Caenorhabditis elegans: one gene and its partners. The protein of the gene in region 1 interacts with the protein of each later gene in a pairwise test. Each region holds a gene or a part of one and is shown on either strand. Other genes may lie near its edges. The genes, in order: ncl-1, nrde-3 and C03D6.1.

Region 1 (3,755 bases):
AACAGAGAGCCGATCAAAAATCAGACCAATCGGGGCAAAAGGGAAGAGGGAGAATTGGGCGAAAAAAATGCTGGAGAAAGGGGAAAAGAATTGTCGTTTTCGTTTGCCACATACACTAACTATGCCGTTCTCTCATTCAGTTCGTCACATCGAGAGGAACGGGCGGTTTGCATCGGAATGGCAAACAAACAAGAGAGAGAGAGAGAGTTGTTTTATGCAATATGATGAATGGTCGAAACCCACCTTCTAGGCAGAAAGTGCGAAAAAAATGGGACAAAAAATGACGGATTCTCTAGAGTCTCTGGGTTTCAAAAGCTATTTTCAAATTTAGTTTGGACTTTTGGAGTGGTGAAGCGAACTGGATTGAACTGAGGAGGAAAATGGAGAAGCTGTGATTTTCAATTATTTTAAAAGAGGCTTTAAATTGTAATTAGAAACAAGGCGTTCCACGGAGGCGCGAGAGCTTTCATATATCGCTTAAACGGGTTTTTTAAAGTTCAAATTGTTAAAAGACATTTTGCATCAAAAATAAATTTATGAAAATATTACAGGCTACCTATGTTTTATGATTTTAAATATAGAAACATCACATCAGAAGTAAGCTTTCTAGAACGCTTCACAAAAGTTTTTTGAAAAAAAAAACATTGCGACCAAACTAGATTCTCCCAACCACAAGATCTTCACCCCTATTCCAATCAAAAAAATGGATCGGTGCTCTCCTCCGTCCAGAGTCACATGAAAACGACACAAAAGACGCGTGGCGATTGGAGGAGAGAAAGAGAGGCGCAAAAAATGACCCAATGGGCTTCTGTTGAGCCATGCGAAAAGAGAAACTAGAGAAAACTGAAGAGAAGTCATGTGGCTGCATCACCGCCGTTTTTTGACCTTTTTTTGAGCAGATTTTCTCGTGAAACTAGAGAGGATTAACTAAAAATATATATATTAATGGATACAATACACATTTCTTCTAATGATCTCTATACTCGGCAAAACGTCGCAACTTCATAGCAAACTCCTGCAACTTAATAAAAACATTCATATAACTTTGTAAAAAGCTGTCAAGAAGTTGCGAAAACCAACGGGATTGTGAGCGAAATTTAGCTTTACATCTGCTAAGAAATTGCAAAAGTCATCTGAAAAGCTGCAGAAGTTTGCTTAAAAGCTAAAATGCCTAATTGTTCTTAAGAAGTTGCAAGAGTATGCTATGAAGTTAGGCCGTTTTGCCGAGTAGGAACCCTACGTACAAATTATCAGAAACATTGTTTGAGAAGCTACCAAAATTTACATTTTCGCCGAAGAAAAGGAACTAAACTGAAAAATGAAAAAAAAAGTAAGCATTCTTGCTATCATAATATTTTGTTGGAATCAGCAAAAAACGCGTTGATAAAAACGATTTTATCAACACTTAATGTGGATTTTTGACAGAGCAGGCGGTACGGAAAATGAAAAACCTACAGTACTCCTTGAACGTTTTGAGGCAGCAGAAAAAATCACTGCCTACACTACAACAATTTCGGCTAATTTTATGAAAGTGGTCAGGGAAATTGGGTGAATCGTATTTTGACTAGGAGACTGGGAAACTATATTTAATAAGTTCCTATTATCCTTGAAATTGTTTGAATATTCAAAATTATTATTGCCACAGAGCGTTATTTGAGAAGCTTTTTATTTTTGATTTTAAACTGAAACTTGCAAAAGTTTAACACATTGATTTTTATAGATTCGATATCTATCCAATTCAGTAAAATTCACTTTTAACAGAACATGTGACGGACGTCCCACAGTTTATTCTCCTTGTGAAGGATCTCATTTAATTCGTGTCGATTTTTAGATTATTTTTAATTCTGAAACTGTGTATAACAGTTCCTTGAGCTTCGTTCTTTTGAAGCTAGTAAATCATTAAGAAGGTTCAACAATGAGAGACTTAGGAAAAGTAGGAAACATTACACTTTAGAATAAAACGCAGACTAGAAAATAGTCAGAACCTTTTGTTTAAAATTGTTTAATTTTTGAATAAAACAACTGACCTGCAAATTTCTAGATACGGAATCATTGTCTTCTGGATGAGGCTTTCTGTGGAATCTCCTCTGAAGAGCAGGTGTAGAGCAGGCTTCTGAAATTAAATCAAGATTTCCCTCAACTTTTAGTATGAAACAGTTATTTGAAATCGACGGTTTGAAAGTGTTCCGGAAGAGATCTAAAAATCATTTACAGAATTCAAACTTTTTGTGGGTGAAAGAGGGAAGCGTATAGGAAATATGTGTGTCACATCACAAAAGTCAAGTGACAGTGGGAAAAGAAGAAGAGTTAAGAGATGGTCAGAGACGCAGAGGGAAATTGAGGAAAAATTGAAAACTGTGTGCAAACAGTGCAGAACTTTGATGATTTCCTACTGGTTTTACTTCGTATTTTTGGGTAGATTTGTTTCAGAGTTTCGGTTTTTGGACGAAATTTAAATTGTCTTGTTCTAGAAAAGTTTTACACGAATGTGGGACAAACTACGAAGGGTCCATCTTGATACCAATTTTCAAAAATTCGCGTGAAGTATGATGTACAAGTTCGGTAAATACCACGAATCAAGAAAATTATGCAAACATCATTGACTACCATTTGGCAATCCATCAGGGTGAGGCGACATGGCGCCTTTTTCCTCGCCTTCCTATCGCCCGCCTCGCTGTTCGGTGTTACAATTATATTGAACCGTTGCTGTATATTTTTTTTTGATTATATTTTTTTTCTACCTTCTTAAAGGCGTGGAGGCGGGAAGGGGAGAGCAACCGTGCAAGCGCGGTTTTATGCTCAGTGAATTGCCCAGTAGTGCAAAGCGGAGAAGCTCGAACTTTAAATTCTGCAAATCATTCAAATAAATGCTAAAATTAATCTTGACAAATTTGCGCGGAAAATGTTTTCCCTAACACATTAAATTTCCCACACACAATTGTGACAATTTTAGAAGCCGTTTGAAGTTTAACGAATTATAATAATTTCCAACAATTTTAATTTTTAAAAATTTTTTAGAGTCAACTCTATCTTTCTATATAACTTTTTGGCCTACACATTCTGCTGCCAAGGAAACAATTTTAGGCCTAAAAATTCATTTGGCGGGAAATATGAATGTTGTTAAATCTAGATCAAGATTAGATACAACTTATACAAATCGATCAAAATTCAAAAAATAAAAAGTAAAACAAAAAACTCTCGAAAAAAGTTATTATCATTTCAAAAAGATAGAGGGGCAAAAGACACTATTTCCACATCAGTTTTCCACCCGTCACACACTTTTTGGAACAAACAACATACGAAACAGTGTGTCAAAATGAGAGAATGTGATAGATAGAGATGGGCGGTATGTATGCGTGTGCGGGAGAAGAGTGGGAATGAGGAATTGGGGTGGAAAACGGGCGGTCACTTTTAAGAGATCATTGATCTAATAGAGGAGTTAGAGAATCAAGAAAAACTTATTTTTTTAAAACAAACCAATTGTGAAAGTTTATAAAAATGTAATCGTATCAAATTTTAATTTGGCAATCCACAATTCATATAAATTTTCACTTCTTGAAAATTCATGTGCAAAAGATTACTGTAGAAAATTTATGTGAAGGTTAGAGGGCGTTTTGAAAAAAAAGAAGAAATTCGGCAATTATCGTATTATCGATATTTATATAATAATTTATTGACTATCAAACATTATTAATTTTTTAAAGTAATAATTTCAAAAAGAGAGATGGGTGAACTTTCAATTCTCCCACGAAAAT
Region 2 (3,755 bases), on another chromosome or scaffold:
TCCGTCGGGAAGTTTTTGTTCAAATGTGACACTGAAATTTGTTAGTATTATATACGCATAAAAGTGTTTTTGGAGAAACTGACCTATCTGCTGTTCCGGTGTGAATTTCGTCTATCATGATTGAACGATTGGCTTTCGAGTCTTTAAGATGAATCGGCTGACAATCCAATCCTTTGAGAGACTGCTTGAGAGTGTTCAGCATACCATCCGAAATGCGTTCGTCTTGAAACTGTCTTTGATAATGTGAGACAGTTCTCTCGTCATAATCAATTTCACCATCACGCGGTGAGCGTCTATCATCGTATTTTCTACTGTTCCCGCCGCCATCGCGACGCTCTCTGCCACCATTGTGGCCTCTGGGTCCTCCACCACTATTTGTAAGTTGATCCATTTTGGCAGTGAAAAATTTGAGGAGAGACGTATCTTTGTAGAATGGCGATTTTGTTGTGTCAACGGTCATAATTGCATCTGGTACACCGTCCCGATCCACAATTTTTGTAGTCTTCACGAATCCTGACTTAATCAGAGTAACCTCGTCGGGACTGGCAATATCGCCCCCCTTCGTGGGGAAAGTTCCCGACGAATAGAGCAAAAACTTCTCATTGTGAAGACATTGGTCTGTTATAGCTTCAATGATACGTGTTAGCTCAGAACGGTTCTCCAATGTCAAAGCGTTTGGTCCACGCGTGTAGATCTGTAATTTTTTTTTGAAAAAATAAAAAGGAGAATGACATGTTTTTTATATAGGTTTGTGTAGTAGTTTGAAAAGAAGCCGTTTAAATAAAAATAAAAACTGCAACATGAAATTTGCTCAAATCAGAGCGCCCAAACATTTCACTTTAAGTTCTCGGGGACAGCCAAAATACAAAAGGAAAAGACGCTAAAAGATGAGTTAAGAATCTGAAAACGTTGTCATACCGTGCTTTCAGGACTTATGTTTTTACAGTCGTCTTCATTGGTAACTTTTTGTGAACTTTTGAAGTCAAAATTCCTGTTTCAAATTTTCAGCGTCGATAAGATATAGACGGCTCAAGAAACTCACTGGTGGATTTGTCTTGATGCGAATTTCAAATGTCGACCCACTCCGACGTGAGATGAGAGAAACGATTTTCCATTCTTGTGGCGAAAAGTCAGCTTCTGTCAGATGGCATACGTGCTCGGTCAACTCGACGTCAAAGAAGCTACATCCCACATAGATAGTTTCCGCAGCGTCGTATGCAGCGATTGCCGGATCAGTCATACCTTTGAACAGCTCAGGATTTCGTTTGAACCATGCCCGGAAGAGCAGGCATTGAGCTTGACGTCTTTGTTGACGGTTGACGCTAAAATATTCATTTAATTGTATATAATATGAAAAAGAAATACACTTACTCTCCGGAGAATGCCGAAACGCCAAGAGAAAGTTCAAAGCGACGTCCATCCGTGTGAACCAATGTGGCACGAAACATTATTCTGCTAATTCTCTCGTCCATTTTAGAAATATCTAAATTCCAAGCATTCATTTGTACCCGAAACGTACCAAAATTATTGAATGAATCCGGCACCGACACTAAAAATCAATTATATGTGCAAATTTCGCTTGCTAAAAAACCCACATCCTCCCAGTGGCTTTCGTTTTGGATCGGGACCTGTGCGATCGGTATGCTCTCTTTTTGGAATCCGACCTCCAAGAGATCCTTGCTGTGAGCCCGGAGTAGTGAAAAGTGGCTTCGGTGGCTGCTGTTGGCTGGATGGCTTTTTTGCAGTGCCCCAAACATTTGTACGTGGTGTGGATGACGCAGATGTGGCTGGTTTTTTGGCAGTTGAGCCTGGCTTAGAGCCCATCTCACCCATTACTTTGTCTAGGAGATCCATGATTAGTTGTGCAAATTACCTGAAAGAAATTTTATGAACTTGAAAATTTTATGTAAGAAACTGAAAAAAGAGAGCGAGAAAAAATAGAAGAATAGTTTGTGTATTTATAATTTAGTTAATTATATTTTAGAATAGAGATCAATAGAAAAACAGCGTCAGCACAGTCGCACAGCAAAGGAATGAAAGGCAACACCAACTAAATTCAAAGGCATTTGAAAGAGAGAGGGTGAGATGTGTCTCTTGCGCAAGATAACAGAGCGCGCGCACAGAAGAGGTTAGTGTGCAATGGTATTGGAAGAGGGTGTAGGGTGAATGCGTACGCAGGTATGATCGATCAAAAAGAGCGCGCACCAGATGAAGAACTGTGTAACAGACGAGTGTGTGTGGTGCAACGCGGAATAAACGTATCGATCGGTTATCGGGGAGACTCCTCCTTCATCGCTGATCGTTAACGAAGACATGAATAATAAGAAACCATGAGATCGTCATAATGCTTACCGGTTTGGCGCGAAATATCGAAGTGCCGTGGAGCATGTTTCGAATAGAAACGCAGGTCCCTTCACTACGAGGAACGGTAGGAATTCTCATGATCTCATGCTCGGGCAAAAATAAAAAGTCCTAAATGAAGTGAAACTCTTGCGTAAAGAGAAACTCCTACATATTCTTTCATAGAAATTAGGGATTTTTGCTACAATCTTAGCCTTTCGGGAGTTTTGTCTAGTTTGGAGCAACTCCTGCACACTCCACAATCTGCAACAAACTTAGTACTCAAGATTTTTTATTATTTTTTGCGGGAGTGGTTTCTCAATGCAATCGTTGTTTTTTCCGACAAATCGGAAAATTGCCGGAATTGAAACTTCCGGCGATTTGGCACATAGCCGGAATTGAAAATTTCCGGAAAATCGATAAACCGGCAAATGGGCGATTTGCCAAATTTGCCGAACAGTTTCGGTAAATTGTTTTTGTGGTTTTGCACTTTTTTTTTTTGAAATTTCAATATTTTAATTTCAATCGGCAAAATTGTATCCTGTGAATGTTCCTAAATCTATTCTGAAAAATAAGCAAATCCTATAAAAAATATCAAGAGAAAACGGGAATAAAATTTCAACAAGGCTAAGTTTAAAGTAGTTCCGTCTTCTGAAAAAATTACTCTAAACAATTCCGGCAAACTTGATCGACGGCAAATTGGCAATTTGCCAAAAATGAAAATTCCCTGTAAATCGGCAAACCGGCAAATTGCCGGTTTGTGGATAAAAACTAAAAAATAAACATGTGGATAAAAAAATTGCCAAACAGAAATTGCTGCCCACCCCTGATCCAAATGCATAATTATTGAAAAATCTACAATTTCATTTCAGTATCTTAGCGAGTCCGTCAATAAAATTGTAAAAATGATTGCAATTATGTTAGAAGTAAGTGCAAAAAGATTACAAAAAGCCAGCGCAAACAGAAAAAGTTTTTATTTTATTGCTCGATTGTTACTCTGATCTACAGCGGACGCAGGTTGCGTAGAGTTTAAGAATTTCAGTTTTCCGGTCAATCAATCTATTGGAAGAAATTGAAAGTGTAAAATTTAATAGAATTTTTGAAATACGGCAAAGTTTTACTTTTTTTAAAATATAAATATAAGGGAAAAATATAAAATAGAATTTTGATATTTTAACATTTTAAAAGTTTTTTTGAGGACACATTTTTCAGGAAAAAATGAAAAGATTTCAGTTCTACTACATAGAAACAATACATTATGTACTCACTCGGACTAAAAATAAATATTTTATTTCAGCGGCGGTTCTTTAGATTTTTGAAAAAGTGGTTCAATTGTTTCAACTTTTTTCCCACTGGATTATTCTACTTGTTTTTTTCAATGGCGATTACTGAAGCGATTCAACAGTTTGAAAACT
Region 3 (3,755 bases), on another chromosome or scaffold:
ATCATATTGAGAAGAGTTAGCAATTCGAGGTAGAGCATTGTTGTGTGCTTCTCTGAAACTGAAAATCAAAAATTAAAAGATTTATCAAGAAATCGAATATTCTTACGCTGCGTAACTGGGAAAAAATTTAGTCCACAGTCCAGCTTTGTTTTCAGCATTCCAAAGAGGTTCAAGAAGAGAAAATCGATGATTACGAACTCTAATTGTTATAAACATGTTAACAATTAAGTTTTGAAATTCTTCGTTTGATTGGAAAATTCCGTCATCTTGAAACAAATAAACGAGTGGTTCCGTATTTTCTGGTCGCCATGGAGCCAATCCAAATGCAAATCGAGGATTCCATTCTGGAAGATTTGATGCAGTCTCTATATATGTTGATATTTCTTCTTTGAAAGCTGTGAACTCTTGATGTTCTACCTGAAAACTTACGATTTCTTCTTTGGTACATGATTTCCAATTTGAATCACCGCGCTTTTATCACCGACGCAAAGTGCGCAAGCAACACTCGCTGGCGCCTTTCTCTCCCTTTGCGCATAAGGCGATCGCTTTTTTATTTTTTCGCAATTCTTGATTCTAAACTAATTTTGTTACTTTTCAATGTTCTCACTGTCCAATTTCACCGTATTTTGCGTTAATAAATTATTTTATCAATTTTAGGTAACAATGCGCATTGAAAAATGCTACTTTTGCTCGTCTCCCATCTACCCGGGACACGGAATCCAGTTTGTCAGAAACGATAGCACAGTAAGAACTATTTAAAATAAAATTAGTTTACGAACTGTTCAATCAATCTGTTTAGGTGTTCAAATTCTGCCGATCCAGATGTAACAAATTGTTCAAGAAGAAGAAGAACCCAAGAAAGCTTCGTTTCACCAAGGCTGCGCGTCGTGCTCGCGGAAAGGAGCTTATCAACGACGCCACACAGCTTCTCGAACAGCGCAGAGATGAGCCTGTCAAGTATGAAAGAGCCATGTTCCAAAAGACCATTGAAGCTGCCAAAACGATTTCCGCATTGAAAACAAAAAGGTAAATAAAAATAAATTTATATCAAAAAGCAACTATTATTTTTCAGATATGGTAACCTGATCAGAAAACGTCTGCAACCAGGAAAGATTGTACAGAAGAAGGGACTCCTTGCGAAGGTCGACAAGAAAATGCATCTCATCCGTGCTCCAGTTGCAAACAGAGATGGTGTCAAGACAAGGGCGGCAGCAAAAGAAAAGAAAACCGCAGAATCGATGGAGACCAATTGAGTACCCAATTTTCTTTCTTTTTTTAAACTTTTTGTTATTTGTTACTTGTTGTTCTACTCCCGCTTTTGTGAATACACTTGGATTTACGATTTTTTGGAATTTCTTGTTATATTCACTACTGGACAGGAAAAAGCGTTTCAACGAAATACTAGGTGGTGGTAAGATTATTGGTCAAGGCCGCAGTTGTGTTCAAATTGAAAGATGCAACGTTCAAAGTTATTTTAATAGGAAACGTACCGTTGATTGTAGATCATCGCGAACTTGATCTCGGAGCACAATAATAAAATCAGGGAGCACTTCACGATGGGATCTGAAGTCTTCAATTATCCACCGAGTGACTCGTCGAATCAGCGCAGGATCAACATGCGGAATGGTGGCCTTTTGGAAATGAAAGTACTCGGTAAAATGATCAGGACACGAGGTTCCGTTGAATGTGAACTGGAATTACATCGAATAGCAAAGAGTTGAGCACAAAAATGTAATTACCACAACTGTACTGGGATTATTGTAGACCCCAGGTGTACTTGGATCCACAGTTCCATGATTTATAGCATATCCTATAAAAAGCGTATTTGTCTCTGGCCCCCGCAAGCTTCTCCTGAAATTAAATTAAGAAATAGGTATTTATGAGCTAAAATCTCACATATACTGGTGAGCATTATTTCTTATATCTGGAGCCACATGTCGCCTTCTTCTTAATGCCATCATTATTCGGACTGAAAATTTTGGAATTTCAGAAATCACCCAACAAAGAAAGTTTATAAGACAAGGTACACGGAGAAACAGAAGGAGAGATAAAAATTGAATAGCCTAGAGGTTTCAATGACATAGACATATATACACATACACACTGATCAGAACATTCTTCTTCTTTTTATTCGTTGTAGAGGAAGTTTTGACGTCGACGGATGGATGAGGACGACCGCGTGGGGGCTGTTTATATCACTATTTGTGTATGGAAGAAGCTGATATGATATGGTAGTAATATTTTTGCATCTTGAAGATTGTTCTTCCGATATTTTGGCGGAAAGTCCTATTATCATAGTTCTGATGGTTTTTTGAAACATCCGCCTGAAGGCGCATGGATTTATTCAGATAGGTCTCGTCGCGAGAAAAATGTTTACTGTAGGTTTCCTTTTATTCGACTTCCCTATTGCATTTTTTTGTTCTCAAGCACATTGAAATTCTTAACAAAAATCGAGAAAAATCGTTAAAACAGCTAGAAATTTGTTTTGAAAAAAATCTTAATAGAAAGGAAAATAATATCAAAATCGGTGTGTCTTTAAGAAACCTTGTTTCAGAAAATTACAATGTAATTTTTTAAATCAAAATCTGCTTTCAGTTTCCCATTTCATCTTTTTCTCTCTCTGGACATGATTATTCACAGAATGTTTTTATTTGCAAACTCTCGCCGCGCTTTTTTAGGTTTACTGTAGATGAATTAAGTTTTATTTTTTATTGGTTTATTGTAATTTTTGGTCACGAGTTGAATTCGGAAAACACCCAACATTGTAAGTGAAGTTTCCAGTAATTATCGTTTTTGAAAAACTATAAAACACAGAAAAAGAAGCCGGAAGTTTCTATAGGTATACAGTAAACATAAAGACGCATACACAGATCGTTTTCGTAAAATTCCCGACGAGACCTCATTCGAATAAATCCGCCTTCCTTAAAACTTATAGAAGTTCGTGTATTTAATTCCACGTTTCTTCAATGATACTGTACCGCGAAAAGGGTGAGATTTTTCATGTAGACACTCTAAAGTGATAAGAAAAATCAAAGAAGGGAGTCTAAATGCGTGGACAATCATTAAAGATTCTATCTTTTCGGGGGCTGCTGATCGAGAAAAGAAGTCTACGAGAAAAAACTGTTTGGCAGTCATTTAACAAATTCTCTCATTAATTTAAATATGTATATCAATTCAGTGATAAAACAACGTATTGCGACAAACTATAAATGTAATAGGGGGAAAAGTCACGTGGTGTCGTTTTGATATGATATGATGTGATATGGATAGCGAAATAGAAAATGAAAATGATGAAGGGACAGGGGTGAAAAGTCAGAGGAATTCCGTGGAAGGAAAGGGGAAGAACAATTCTTTATCAGTTTTTGGGAATCATTGTGTCAGGTCGAATTGGGGGACGGTTTCATTGTTTTCTTTTTGATAGTCTGCTCTTTGACCTGAGAGAGAAACCGCATGTCAACCAAATTTTGCAAAAGTCTTAGAAAATGAGTACGGTAGATTGTTTGAATGGTTTTTCATACTCGGTAGGCTCTTCAATATCGTGAGCAATGAACGTTGAGTTGAAAAAATTATGTATGATCCCTAAATGTCACCTATTTTTGGACATGAAGTATCGGCCAAGAAATAATCTTTATAGGTTTTCTAATTGAGCATAACTCAAAAACTAGTTAGTTTTGCAAAAGAAGTTTGTCAGCGAATCTTCTGTAATACATTAATTATTTTTCGAGTTAAAATTATTTGAAAATTTTGAAAATGAC

What was found.
Region 2: the proteins of ncl-1 (region 1) and nrde-3 interact in a two-hybrid assay, tested with the Caenorhabditis elegans proteins (one large-scale study listed by BioGRID).
Region 3: the proteins of ncl-1 (region 1) and C03D6.1 interact in a two-hybrid assay, tested with the Caenorhabditis elegans proteins (one large-scale study listed by BioGRID).

The regions. Positions count from the first base shown.
Region 1 is NC_003281.10:7,718,089-7,721,843, reverse strand, and holds the start of ncl-1 (RING-type E3 ubiquitin transferase), read right to left. Parts: upstream 2,054-3,755; coding exon 2,028-2,053; intron 1-2,027. UniProt on the Caenorhabditis elegans protein: Translational repressor that inhibits protein synthesis.
Region 2 is NC_003284.9:370,353-374,107, reverse strand, and holds the start of nrde-3 (Nuclear RNAi defective-3 protein), read right to left. Parts: upstream 1,874-3,755; 5' UTR 1,855-1,873; coding exon 1,596-1,854; intron 1,550-1,595; coding exon 1,372-1,549; intron 1,323-1,371; coding exon 1,043-1,322; intron 695-1,042; coding exon 84-694; intron 32-83; coding exon 1-31. UniProt on the Caenorhabditis elegans protein: Transports small interfering RNAs (siRNAs) from the cytoplasm to the nucleus. Required for RNA interference (RNAi) in nuclei. Required for exogenous RNAi-induced H3K27 methylation.
Region 3 is NC_003279.8:9,668,758-9,672,512, forward strand, and holds the start of C03D6.1 (Piwi domain-containing protein), read right to left. Parts: upstream 1,970-3,755; 5' UTR 1,959-1,969; coding exon 1,897-1,958; intron 1,852-1,896; coding exon 1,740-1,851; intron 1,692-1,739; coding exon 1,491-1,691; intron 1,342-1,490; exon of another isoform or gene 1,254-1,341; coding exon of another isoform or gene 1,073-1,253; intron 1,027-1,072; coding exon of another isoform or gene 800-1,026; intron 745-799; coding exon of another isoform or gene 664-744; exon of another isoform or gene 658-663; intron 418-657; coding exon 107-417; intron 59-106; coding exon 1-58. Other genes in the region: rsl-24D1 (putative ribosome biogenesis protein RLP24), read left to right, coding at 664-744, 800-1,026, 1,073-1,253.